Neurospora crassa OR74A: one gene and its partner. The protein of the gene in region 2 interacts with the protein of the main gene of each other region in a biochemical or structural test. Links are inferred from orthologs where the notes say so. Each region holds a gene or a part of one and is shown on either strand. Other genes may lie near its edges.

What was found.
Region 1: the proteins of pold-1 (region 2) and NCU03763 form a complex in vitro, tested with the Saccharomyces cerevisiae proteins (2 studies listed by BioGRID). The link is inferred for Neurospora crassa OR74A from reciprocal best matches to the Saccharomyces cerevisiae genes POL3 and POL31.

Annotation. Positions count from the first base shown.
Region 1 is NC_026505.1:2,337,674-2,344,375, reverse strand, and holds NCU03763 (DNA polymerase delta subunit 2), read left to right. Parts: upstream 1-3,134; 5' UTR 3,135-3,274; coding exon 3,275-3,324; intron 3,325-3,389; coding exon 3,390-3,699; intron 3,700-3,754; coding exon 3,755-4,751; intron 4,752-4,877; coding exon 4,878-5,098; 3' UTR 5,099-5,411; downstream 5,412-6,702. Other genes in the region: NCU03765 (3'-5' exonuclease/helicase), read left to right, coding at 1-909; NCU03764 (microtubule associated protein, variant), read right to left, coding at 1,283-2,746; NCU03762 (hypothetical protein), read right to left, coding at 6,036-6,434, 6,537-6,702. UniProt on the Saccharomyces cerevisiae protein: DNA polymerase delta (DNA polymerase III) participates in chromosomal DNA replication.
Region 2 is NC_026505.1:3,184,213-3,190,943, forward strand, and holds the start of pold-1 (DNA polymerase delta catalytic subunit), read left to right. Parts: upstream 1-2,981; 5' UTR 2,982-3,205; coding exon 3,206-3,973; intron 3,974-4,026; coding exon 4,027-5,831; intron 5,832-5,895; coding exon 5,896-6,637; 3' UTR 6,638-6,731. Other genes in the region: NCU01190 (DUF410 domain-containing protein), read left to right, coding at 1-340, 450-1,122; NCU01191 (hypothetical protein), read right to left, coding at 1,442-1,542, 1,616-2,381.

The DNA of each region.
Region 1 (6,702 bases), about 850 kb from region 2:
CTATCAGCCAACTACCTCTCCACTGTGGGTGACAATATCAACGTCGAAATCGAAGGAGACGGGAGCACGACCCTCAGCGGCGAAGACGCTTTTGTCTCTGCCACCACCAAAACCGGCAAGAATGGCACAAGCAAGAAAACCACCGAACCCTCAACAACATCCACAAAACGCAAACGGACCTCCAAAGAATCCAACGAGTCCAAAGAGTCCAAAGTACCCAAACCAATCGACCCCCTCATCTCCGAAGCCACCCTCTGGGCCCAGAACTACCTCCTCTCCCATATCTCCCGCAAACAAACCTTTGCCCCCAAATCCCCCCTCTCCGTCGCCAACCTGCGCGCCTATTACCTCTGGTCTCGTAATCCGTCGATGAACTGCGAAGCTCTGGCCGCGTTGCTCGGCATCAAGACTAGCACGGCCGCACAATACATTCTGGTGGCTATTCAGAAGGAAAAGGGTAGGCTGTCGTTTGAGCCGAAGCGGATGAAGGAGGAGATTTTTGGGTCTGGGGTGATTTCGGAGGAGACGTTGAAGTTCAGGTGGCAGGGCGTGCAGATGCTGTGTGCGTTGTATGAGGAGGCTGAGGCGCGTGGGGTGAATGGGACGGGGGTGATGGATGGGGAGGGGGTGAAGGGGAAGAGTGAGTTGGAGTTGTTGGATGAGATTTTTGGGCAGGAGCAGGAGCAGGAAGGTGAGGTAGAGGAGGTTGAGGGTGAGGAGGTAGATGAGACACAGGCAGAGGTGGAGGTAAAGCCGAAGGAAGAGAGCGTGGAGGATGTGATGAAGGCTGCGTTGGAGGCTGGGGATTTGGACTTTGATGAGGAGTTGACGCTGGGCAATAGCAGCAGTCAAGCGACGGTTGATGAGGAAGAGGTGGAGAGGTTGAGGAAGATGTCGAGAAGTCACTGAGCCGGCTCTCAAGCTGCTGGTCGAGTGCTGAACAAGAAAGGAAAGATGTCGACGATGCACCTATACCCCGAGACCGACTTGGCTACTTTTAGACGTTGGTAGATGAACCTTGTATAATCCTCAGAACAACCTGACTGGGCTCTGCAGAAGCCATCTAGTCTATGCTCCAGGTCAGTACAGTTTTCGCGTACAGTTTAGTTCAGAAAGAATCTGTCACGGCTGTTCTTGGCCTCGTCCCTGCAGATATCACAAAAATATCCTGTACAGTATTCACATTCCATTTTATCTATCCTGGGTATATCATAACAACCAAGTTCTGCTGCTTCCCTTCTCTTCATCAACAACCCCCTCTTTCCCGACCATTTTTCTTCCTCTACTCGGCATTCACACCCCTCCCCTTATTAATCTGCACCTTCTTATCCTCACCACCGCTGAAGATGCCCAGCTGATCCCACACCACGCTGAACACCTTGCACCCGTCGCCCGTCACACTGCTCTTCTTCTTCTTGCCCTGCTGGCTCTCGCGATCAATAACGTACACGGGCTCGCTGACGCTGCCCATGCCGCCCTCGTCCTTGGTCGCTGGCCGGACCGACCGCAAATCCCAGATCCGGCACGTCCCGTCGTGCGAGCCCGAAACCAGTGAGTACTCGTTCTCCGGGTTCGCCGCCAGACTGACCACCTTGTTGGCATGCCCACGCAGCGTCATGACGCTCGTCGCGGCCGTGCTGGTGCGCGGGTCGACGAGGGTAATGTGTCGGGCGGAGGTGCCGCAGGCGAGAAGGGGCGCCGAGGCCGAGGAGCGCGGCAGGGCAGCGAGAGAGAGGAGCGCATGCGAGGTTGTGAAGGTGCTGACCACGCTGGAGGTGGTCAGGTCGATGGTCTTGACGGTATGGTCCTGCGACACAGAGTAGGCAACGGTGCGGTCGCGGGGGTCGAAGACGGCGGCCGTGGCGGGCGCATTGTGGATGTTCATAAGGGCGAGCGGGCCGCGCTGGGCGGCGGTGACGGAGGTCGCGAGCTTGCGGCGCTTGGATGTGTGGGCGCCGGGAAGGAGCGAGGAATCGGAGACTTCGGGCGCGGACGCCTTGGAGGTGGTCCAGAAACCGATGGAACCGTCGGCGGAGGCAGTGAGGATGCGCTTCGAGGCGCCGTCAACCTCGAGCGAGTCGATCGAGGAGGTGTGGCCGTACAGTTCGAGAGTGGGCTTCAGCTCGCCGCGACGCTCGTACGACTCGCCCGACTCGGTGTACTTCCATACGCGAACTGTGCGGTCCATGCCGGCCGAGGCAATCTGAGTGCTGGAGAGGAATTTGGCAGCTTTTATGCTGGCAGTGTGACCACCGTGGCTGCCCGAGGGCGAGGTGCCAATCACATTTCCAGAGGCGTCCCATATCCTGAGGAGACCGTCGTACGAGGCGGAGAGGATGCGATCTTGGCCGCGCTGAAAGTTGTCGCCGGACCAGCGGCCCGCGGGAGAAGTAGCGGAAAGAACATCGACGGCGCTGACCCAGTCGTCGTGCTCAAAGCTGGCCTCGTATGTTGGTGGGATCAAACTGCGAACGTACTGAAGGGTGATGTTGGTTTCGAGCGAGAGGCCGTTGGCGTTGAGGTACTCTTCAAGACTGCCGCGGAGGAAGCTGCCGTTAACAAGGAAGTCGAAGGGGATCGAGTTGGTGTCGAGCATGGACTCGGAGTTGAGAATACGGGAGAGGCCATAACGGCGGATGTCGGCGGGGACAAGGAGCTGGCGCTTGCTCTCATCGAGCTGGATGTCCTCCTCCTGGGTGGTGAAGGTCACCCGGACCTGGGCGCCTGATTCGGTAGGGTGGTCCATGGCGGTGCCTGTGCTGTGATATTATGTGAATTGGGTAGTCGCTGTTCGGTATGGGCAGGCTGAATACTATCAATTGACAAGTAAAAGTCAGATTGGCTTAGATTACCGTGAAACAGGCGTCGTCGGGAGGAGAGTGTGGATGTTTACTTTGCAGCGGACACCACAAGGCCATGCCAAATCCAAGACTCCATCCAATTTTTTCTGTCCAGCCTTGCAGCGCAGGGGTCTGGAGTGTTCTAGCTACCCCACGTTCCCCTATCTTATCGGAACTTTATAGCGGGGCCGACGGTTCCTGTGAGGGTCACAGTGCTGAAGCGCCGCTACTATGTAAACTATACTAGTATAGAGTAGTACCGGTCATGTACCTGGCTTAATTGAACCCACTGGAGCTACGCGTCTCGAAATTGTCAAGCGCGTCGTCGAGTTTCGTCCCTTGAAGTCAGTTTCCGAGTCGGGCAGCACATGAATAAGTCACCAATTGCTTTTGTCGTTCTCACATCTTGAGCCATTGTCAGTATCAATCATACGATGGTCACCTTGGACGAAGTTCTCGGTAGCGGTTTGCTACAGAAGCCCTCGTGAGTAGCAGTGGATCATCCATCTTCCACTGGCGATCATCAGCTAACAACCCAACTTCACGAAGAGGCGATGCGCCCGAGGCTCTCCAGCGCCAGATCACCAACTACAAGCCCCTTCATACCTTCAAACTCGAAAAAACCCGTCCCTATCAACAACAATATGCCGATATTTACTTTTTGCGTCTTACAAAGATCAGGCCCGCCGTCGAGGCAGCCGCCAGCGCCGCTTGGGAGGGAACAGTGCTTGGTGGTGAGAAGGTCAAGAGGGTCGAGCGTGTCCTAGACGTTCGCCAGGGAGAACTATGCTGGGTAGCTGGAACAGTATATATGGACATGCCTCTAAAGCCCTCAATCCTCGAGGATGTCTCCAAGGATGTGAGTTTCAGCCTATCCTTTGGTGGACACCAGGCAGCTGACAATGATGTTATAGCGCTGGATCTCCGCTCCCACCTCGGTCGGCCACTACTACTCCGGCAACGGCGAAGACTCGGTAATGCTCGAAGACGACTCCGGCCGCATCCGTCTTGTCGGCAACGCTCTGCAAAACCACTTCATGGTGACCGGCTGCATCGTCGCGGTAATGGGCACCGAGAACGCCAACGGCGAATTCGAAGTCATCGACCTCCTCTTCGCCGAACTACCACCACAGCCCGAGCGCTGGTCGCTCTCAAAAGGCAAAAAGGAAGCAGACTCCTCCGAAGACGTCGAAATGATGGACGCCTCTTTCTCCAGGCAGTCCCACAAGCCCTCCTCTAAAAAGATTGCCCTCGTCTCCGGCCTCGAGTTCTCCAACGCCGACACCTCCTACGCCATGGAACTCAACCTGCTTCTCGAGTATCTCCTCGGCGAAGCGCTCGATCCCTCCGTCCAACGCGACGAGCTCTCACACATCACCCGCCTCATCATAGCGGGGAACTCCATCTCCACGACGGCGGCCGAACAGGCCAAACCCGCGGCTGCCTTCGACACCACCACCGTAACAAACAAGTTCCAACCACAAATCAAAAAATACGGCTACGACAGCAGCTCCTACAACCCGGTTCCCTCCCAACTGTTGGACAGCTTTCTGAGTGATCTCCTCCCCACCATGCCCGTCACCCTGCTCCCGGGCGCGCTCGACCCCGCCAACGCGAGTTACCCGCAACAGCCGATTCACCCGGCCATGTTCCCGCAGTCGAGGACGTACATGCCACCCCCAAAAGCGGGGGCGGGCAAGGACAGAGATGTGCCAGGGGAAGAAGAGCCGGGGTGGTTCGACAACGTGACGAATCCATGGGAGGGCGAGATCGAGGGGTGGCGGGTGCTGGGCACAGGCGGACAGAATCTGGATGATGTTTTCAAGTATGTGGAGAGTGAGGATAGACTGGGCATGATGGAGGCCATGTGCAGGTGGAGGTGTGTGGCGCCAACGGCACCGGATACGCTTTGTGAGTTTTGCTTTTCCCTTTTGCAGCACTCCTTTTCCTCCCCTTTATCCTTGGACTTCGATTCACATTTCCATCCCCCCTTCCCCGTTCGGAATTAGCAACGAACTAACCTATCTGATCAAACAGGGTCCTACCCCTTCCAAGAAGACGAGCCCTTCGTAATCAAAGAGTGTCCCCACCTCTTCTTCGTCGGCTGCCAGCCAGAGTTTGGAACGAAAGTGATCCACGGACCGGACGGGCAAGCAGTGCGGTTGATTGCCGTGCCCTCGTTCTCGGAGACTAGAGAGGTGGTGCTCGTGGACACGGAGACGCTAGATGTGGAAAGGGTGAAGATTGTCGCTGAGTGAATGTGAGATGATATCCATAGATTGGGGTAGTGGGTGGTGAGTGAGAGGGGAAACATAGAGGCGGTGACGAGTTATATTTATTACATTTTTGTCATGTTCTTCGCTTTCAGCGTTAGGTGTCTGGCATAGGGAGGGAATTAGGGAGTCTTTTGTTTGAGGTACTACAGGCGAGGGAGTGATGGCTTGGTGTCAGGTGCCAGGAGATATACATGATCTGTTAGACGATCTGGAACAGGATGAGAATTCTCCAAGTGTCAATGTCAAAGATCAACGCACTTGTAATAAAGCTATCAAGGTCATGCAAACTGCTTGCTACATCGGGCTCAGACGCTTCAGCTCCTAATGGTGCTATTGTGTGACTGGTATTGTCGTGCCCATTTGTCCACTCCTTAAATCCTTCCATTGGACTCAATCGACCACCAGAATGTTCGCAAGCATAAAATTGATCACTCCCCTCGTTTGGCTGCTTGTCATCGCATACATAATATACAATGCGACAGGAGATGCCCGTCGTTAAAGATGTCTCTTCCACCTAAAAGAATAAAAGCATTCTGCCCGTTTTCACTTCAATAGCTCCCGGGTTGTGCATAAGAAAACCATGAACCAACCAGCAAGTTCCCCCCTTTATTTACCAAATTCCTCCTTCCACAAAAATAGTCTTGCCCAACTGCTCAGCCTGCAAATCCCTCACTTGCCCTTTCTCCCATTGCCGTATGCTGACCAGGACGCAGTCGAAGACGTTGGCTAACAGGGCCTCAACTCCCATCAGCGATGATGATGTTACAATTCCGACGCCGATAAGAAGTTTCATCAGGGCTTCTTGACCCAATGAAACTCATTCGCTCTTGTGCGACGCCATTTTGAGGAGATAACATACTCAGAATATCAATGTCGGAAGAACGATGATAAGAAGAATAAGAACTAAAAAGGGAGGGATTCAAGACCTGGAAACAACCAATCCATCAGCAACACGTTTTACAGAAATGAGCAACGAATCTCCATACCGTCCACGGCCGCGAGTCGTCAGCTTCCTCTTCTTTGGCCGACTCTCGTAATCATCGTCATCATTCTCATCTTCGTCGCTGTCGTCAATGGAGCTGGACTCTTCCTCGCCATCATTCTGGCGGCGAGCATCACCCTCGAGACGGGCCTCGAACTCCGCCCTCTCCTTTTTGCGACGCATATTGGCGGCGCTATTGTCCTCCCAAAGTCCGTCGGCTACAGCCTGATCCGGATTCTCGAACCCCTCATACATACGACTCTTGAGAGTCTGCAGTGCTGTCTCGGCCTCTTCGCCCCTCTTGGCCCGCTGCTCCTTCATCAAGTGATCATTTACCTAAAACGAATCACCGTTCTCGGACAACTCGAGCTGCTTGGTACGACGCGGAAGGAATCGCATGTCGATGGTCGTCTCGAGATGACGCTTTTCGGTACTGACCGCAAATTCGTCATCCCCCTCATTAGAAGGGCCTTCATCGATATGCATGTTGATTCGAAGAAATTGGGTGTCAATGCGGGAGAGCGCATGCATAACGAGTGATCTACTATCGAACAGCTCGATGGCGCTCGAATACGGGCTTCTCGACCCTTGGCTGCTGTTCTTA
Region 2 (6,731 bases):
CCAAGATCCAAAAGATCATTGCGCGACTACAAAAGCGCATCGCCGAGGGCCAGTTTGAGGAGCAGTACGAGGCCGGGCAGGAGACGAGGTTGGTTGCGGCGCGGTACACAAAAGCGGAGAATTGGCCGGCCGCCATCGACATTCTGTCCAGCGTGTCGCAGGCGCTGCTGAAGGCCGGAGCGGGCGGCGCCGGTGGCGATCTCGCCATCTTGCTGGTGGACGTTTACAAGCAAGGCAAAGTCAAGCCGGATGCGGCGTCGCGCGGGCGGCTGTTGACGTGTTTGAGGCTGTTTGAGTTTGAAGAGCCGACCAGGAAGAAGTTTGTGAAGGAGGTTTTTGAGTAAGTCTTCTTTCTTCCATCTGTAACGCGGGTTTGCACAGAAAGGAGGACAAGATATAACGAAAATTGAAAAAAGCAAGAAGAGGTACTAAATCTTTCATTTGAACAGCTGGTCACGAAAGTTTGGCGACTACCCTGCCGGCGACCCGGAGCTGCACCACGTTGTCGGCACCCTAGCCGCCGAGAAGCACGAGACGGATGAGGCCGAGAAGCATTTGGTTCTAGGCACCAAAGAGTCGGCCGAAGTGCTGACGCGCATGGAGTACGAGTGGTACAAGGACAGCGAGCAACCGCACACGGCCGCCCTCTTCGCCGCCCGCGCCATCCTGCCGTATCTGCTGCTGGCTAATGTCCGCGCGGCCAACACGTCATACCGCGCTTTTGTCTCGGCACTCACGGCCGAAAACTCGTCGCTCGGCGTGCAAAACGTGGAGAGTTCCCAGGGTAGTGATATCCGCATCTTCCCGAGCTTGCCGCTGCTGAATCTCTTGGGACTGTTGCTGCTGGCGGTGCAGAAGGGAACCCCGGATCTGTTCAGGCAGTTGAAGACGAAATATGCGAGCAATCTTGCCGAGCTGGGGGGAGCGTGGGACGGCGCGCTGGAGATGATTGCCGAGATGTACTTTGGTATTCAAAGGCCACGGCAGTCTAACCCATTGCTGGATATGATGGGTAGCTTGTTCGGCGGCGGCGGTGGCGGTGGTGGTGGTGCGGGTGCTGCTGGTGGCAGGCCGCCAGTGAGGAGGGTCGAGGCGGCGCCTACTGCTGAGGGACTGGACTGAGAAGAAAAGAAATGGTGAAGAGGGATGGGTTTCAGTAAAGAAAGGCACAGACGTATGCTTTTCTTCTCGCTTTGTGCTCTGCTCATAGTCTACTAGGATCCTGTTAAAGGTGAAAATGGTAATCATAGGGGGGTATACGCTGGTTATGCTAAGATAATACAACAATCCAGAGGGGGAAAGAAACCCAAGTAGTAACTGGAAAAAAGAACTCGGAGAAGGAACCAGACCCAACTACCAACCAGCCTCGTTACCATGAATGCAATCCAGTCGTGTCAACAAATGCGTGCCGCTCGTCACTCAATCATCCCTCCCCAATCAGTCAGTGCAAATGAAGTACCTCCTCCCTCTCAAACATCCAATTATCTTCCGATAACGCCGCGACCTTGGCTTTCAAGCTCGCCTTGACTGCCTCCAGGAGATCTACATTCAGTCGTCAGCCGTCTTCCTCACATGTAGCGCCCATGGCGGCGCAACTGAAGCTTGAAAAACATACCTTCGGTATCCATCCCACCTCCTCCTCCCCCACCAGCACCTTCTCCTCCCCCTCCCCCTCCTCCAGCCCCCTCTGGCCCAACATCCCCCCTCCCCTCTGCCTCGTGCTCCGTCAACCACTCCCTCACCGCGTCCGCCAACCTCTCCCTTTCCTTCTCCTGCTCTATTCGGGCCTCCATGATCGTTTCCATCTCCTCGTCGTAGGGCGGCGTGGGAGGGTCGTGGCCCAAGTCGATTTCTCCAGTTTCTTTGTCGCGAACGACTATTTCGAGGTTGGGGTCTGTGAGGGCGTCGGTCAAGGGTGGGGATTCTTGTGAAGAGGTCATTTTGGTGTCTTCTTCGTGGTGTTGTGGTACTGGTTGTTGGTATTGTTGACTGAGAAGATCTTGGGGGTAGGGGTAGGAGTAGTCGGAGTAGGAAGAAGGTGGTTGGGTGAGGTAAGAAGCTTGTTGGTGAGGTAAGTGTGACTGAAAGTTGCTCTGGTGGATCTGAGAGTGAGATGTCTGAGAGGTCTGAGACTGAAAGGATTGTTGGGATGGAAAGTGTCCTTGAGACTGAGTACTATCTGGAGCAGCAGTGGGTTGTCGGGATGCCTGAGCTGGTTGTGATTGTGGCTGCTGTTGGAACAGGTTGCGGCGGACTGATGCTCCGACTCTTGCTCCCGCTCCCGCTCCTGCTCCGGCGGAGGAAAGTCCGGTGTGTGAAGGAGGCGCGATTCGCGAGGGAGCAGCGGGTTTGAAGTTGGGCCCGGGACGACGGTCGGCCATTTCTGTGGATGTTGTCTCTTGGTCTTGAGGTTGTAGTAGATGCGTTGGTTGGTATGACTTTTGGGTTCGGCAGTTCAGTCAAGTTAAACGGTGGATGTTATTGAGGTAGACTTCATCTATTCGAGGGAGCGACACTTTACAGACTTTGTTGCCTGACCTTCCAAGGGAGAATCACAAGTGATGTAAGGTTATGCAATTACTTGGTGAAAGTTGTAAGTGGTATGAGAGAAGACGCGGGGCATACTCCGGTCGCCGCACCGCGAGAGACGTGAAGTGAAGGATGACAGGGTTAGGGTCTGACGCGAGCTCACGTGCTTCGATTGAAGCAACCGGGCGGCATCATCCAGTTCTCTAGTTGCCATTTGCAAGCTCGAGGATGTGTTTGAAGTTGTTCGAATGGGCTACTAATACCGATACAGTCACTCGGGTTCGTCGATAGAAAGACGTTGTCCGCAAACGGTGCTTTGACTAGGTGGTACTAATGCAAGAGGTACCTCGTCCTATCTGCAGGGGTTAAAGAGGTGCAGTTACAGGTAATTAACGGCGCGATGTAAAAGTGGGTGCTTGTCACGTAACAAAGACGTTCGTCGCGTAGTATAGTCGCGGTTCCCATTTCATCCCATTTACAATTCACATTCTCCGTCCCCTCACTCCAACCAGACGTATTCTCTTTGGCTGTATCATTGCTCTTCTTTTTGTTCTTCGCCAAAGACGACACTGAATTTTTCAAAAGACAACAACCCCATGTCCTGAAAGACGTCCATCTTTGTGGATCCTATCCTAGCCGACCTCTACCACAGGCACTCAACTTCCAAAGAGCCAGAATGGCGCCCTCAGCGTTGCCCCAGAAGCGCGCGTTTGGCGAGGCGTCAAGCGCCCGCAGCAACATTCACAATCTTCCCGCCGCTTCATCAGATTCAGCCAAGAAAAGACGCCTCGACGATGTCCTTCCCTCTTCCCGCTTCCGAACTTTCAAGAATGACGGCAAGGGCAGGATACCCTCTACCCAACCCAAGAGCGCCTTCGAGAGCGAGGTGCTTGAGCGTATGAGCCAGGATATTTCCGATCTGAAACAGAATAACTCGGAAAAGGATCAAGCTTGGGAACGCCCGCCACTACCAGCGACCTACAACCCAGCTACAGACAGTCTCTGCTTCCAGTCCATTGAGGCTGAAGAGGGATTCCTCCACGGCGGCCAAGCGACCATTAAGCTGTTTGGTGTTACCGAGAATGGAAACTCGGTCCTCCTCCATGTCAAAGACTTCAAACACTACCTCTACGTTCAAGCCCCTGTATCGTTTGGTCCCGATGATTGTCCCAAGTACAGAGCATTCCTCGAAACGCAGCTCGCCATGCCCACACCGGCCATCCATTCGGTCACCCTGACGATGCGCGAGAACATGTACGGCTTCCAAGGCAACACACAAAACCCTTATATCAAGGTCACCGTCAACGACCCCAAATTTCTTCCCAGAGTTCGAAGATTGATCGAAACGAACAAAGCCAACTGGAAGGGCATGTGGAAGAGCGATGGGTCTATCATGACCTTTGATGATATCCAGTATTTGCTTCGGTTCATGGTTGACTGCTCGGTATGTCGCCTCTTCACACTACCCCCAAGATTCCCTAAGCTAACAAACGCCAGATTGCTGGTATGTCTTGGGTGGAGGCTCCCGCAGGCAGCTATCAGCTTGTCAACGATAAACATTCCAACTGTCAGATCGAAGCCGAGATGAGCTACCGGGACCTAATAGCACACAAGCCCGTTGGCGAATGGTCCAAGATGGCACCTCTTCGAATTCTCTCCTTCGATATCGAGTGCGCTGGCCGCAAGGGCATCTTTCCCGAACCGCAACACGACTCCGTCATTCAGATCGCAAACATTGTCACAAAGTACGGAGAGAAGAAGCCATTTGTCCGTAATGTGTTCTGTCTTGACACCACTAGCCCCATCGTGGCTACTCAAATTCTTTCTTTTGACAGGGAAGAGGACATGCTCCGCGAGTGGCGCAACTTCCTGGAACAGGTCGATCCGGATATCATCATCGGTTACAACATCGCCAACTTCGATTTCCCCTACCTTCTCGACCGAGCTAAACATCTCAAAGTCAAGGATTTCGACTTTTGGTCTCGTACCAGGGTGAGATCTGTCGCAAAGGAGACAAATTTCTCTAGCAAGCAGATGGGCAACCGTGACACCAAGGCTACAAATACCAACGGACGGCTTCAGCTCGACATGCTTCAACTCGTACAACGCGACTACCAGTTGAGGAGTTACACCCTTAATTCTGTCTGCTCGCACTTCTTAGGGGAGCAAAAAGAAGACGTTCATCATTCCATGATCACAGAATTGTTCGAAGGCACACCAGAATCCAGGCGACGTCTTGCACTTTATTGCTTGAAGGACGCCTACTTGCCGCAAAGGCTGATGGACAAGCTGTCATGTTTAGAAAACTACACGGAAATGGCAAGAGTCACGGGTGTGCCGTTCAACTTCCTCTTGGCCAGAGGTCAGCAAGTCAAGTTCTTGAGTCAGCTTTTCCGCAAGGCTTTGGAGCAGAAGCTGGTCATTCCCAACCTACGTCCCGAGTCCTCGGAAGAGCAGTACGAAGGTGCTACTGTCATTGAGCCTACAAGAGGCTATTACGATGTGCCAATTGCGACTCTCGATTTTGCTTCACTGTATCCCAGTATCATGCAGGCGCACAACCTTTGCTACACAACACTCATCAAGAAGCGGGACATCGAGAGATGGGATTTGAAGAAGGACGAGGACTACATTGTTACTCCGAACGGAGACATGTTTGTGACGACTAAGCAGAGGAAGGGTCTTTTGGCACAGATTCTGGAGGAGTTGCTCTCTGCCAGAAAGCAAGCGAAGCGCGAGTTGGCCGTAGAGAAGGACCCATTCAAGAAGGCTGTGCTGAACGGTCGTCAGTTGGCTTTGAAGGTCAGCGCCAACTCCGTCTACGGTTTGACGGGAGCCACAAACGGCAAGCTTCCTTGCTTGGAGATCGCCAGTAGTGTCACCAGTTTCGGTCGTCAAATGATCGAAAGGACCAAAAAGGAGGTGGAGGAGCGGTATACCATTGCCAATGGCTACTCTCACGACGCTCAGGTCATCTACGGTGATACCGATTCCGTCATGGTCAAGTTTGGAACCAAGGATCTTGCTGAGGCCATGAAGCTCGGCCAAGATGCCTCCGAGTATGTCTCGGGCAAGTTCATCAAGCCCATCAAGTTGGAGTTCGAAAAGGTTTATTTCCCGTACCTCCTCATCAACAAGAAGCGTTATGCGGGTCTGTACTGGACCAAGCCTGAGAAGTACGATAAGATGGACACCAAGGGTATCGAGACGGTTCGTCGTGACAACTGCTTGCTAGTTCAGACAGTTATCGAGAAGGTTCTTAGGATGATCCTTATCGACCAAGACGTCCCTGGAGCCCAAGCGTAAGAGTTTGCCAAATTTATCCCTTTTGCCATTGCCAACATCGCGCTAACTTACTACCCCCAGATATGTCAAAGACACCATCGCCGACCTCCTGCAAAACAAGATCGACATGTCTAAGCTAGTCATCACCAAGGCCCTGACCAAAGAGAACTACGATGCCAAGCAAGCCCACGTCGAGCTCGCGCAGCGCATGAAGAAGCGCGATGCCGGTTCTGCCCCGGGGCTCGGCGACCGCGTCGCCTACGTCATGGTAAAAGGCGCCACGGGCTCCAAGAACTTTGAACGCTCCGAGGACCCCATCTACGTGCTCGAGCACAACGTGCCCATCGACACCAAGTACTATCTGGACAACCAGCTAGCCAAGCCTTTGGGCCGCATCTTCGAGCCTATCCTGGGCGAGACCAAAGCCAAGTCGCTGTTGCACGGCGACCACACCCGCGTCGTCTCAGTCGCCGCCCCGACCGTCGGGGGACTCATGAAGTTCGCCAAGAAGACGCAGACCTGCATGGGCTGCAAGAAGCCGCTGACGGGCAAAGAGGAGAGCCAGGGCGCTGTCTGTGCGGATGATGCTCCGAGAGTGGGTGAGCTGTACAAAAAGACGCTCGATAGGGTGTCGGATCTGGAGGTCAGATTCGGCAGGCTCTGGACCCAGTGTCAGAGGTGTCAGGGGTCGATGCACTGCGAGGTTATCTGCAGTAGCAAGGACTGTCCGATTTTCTACATGCGGATGAAGGCTAAGAAGGATCTGGAAGATGCGAATAAGGAGTTGCAGAGGTTTGATTTCGATGCGGCTGCTATGTGGTGAAAAGGATATGTGGTGAAAAGGGTAGGTATGGGTTTATAAGGTTTGGGATGGGATGATTGAGTATGCGGCCAACATGTATTACGAAGGATGGGAT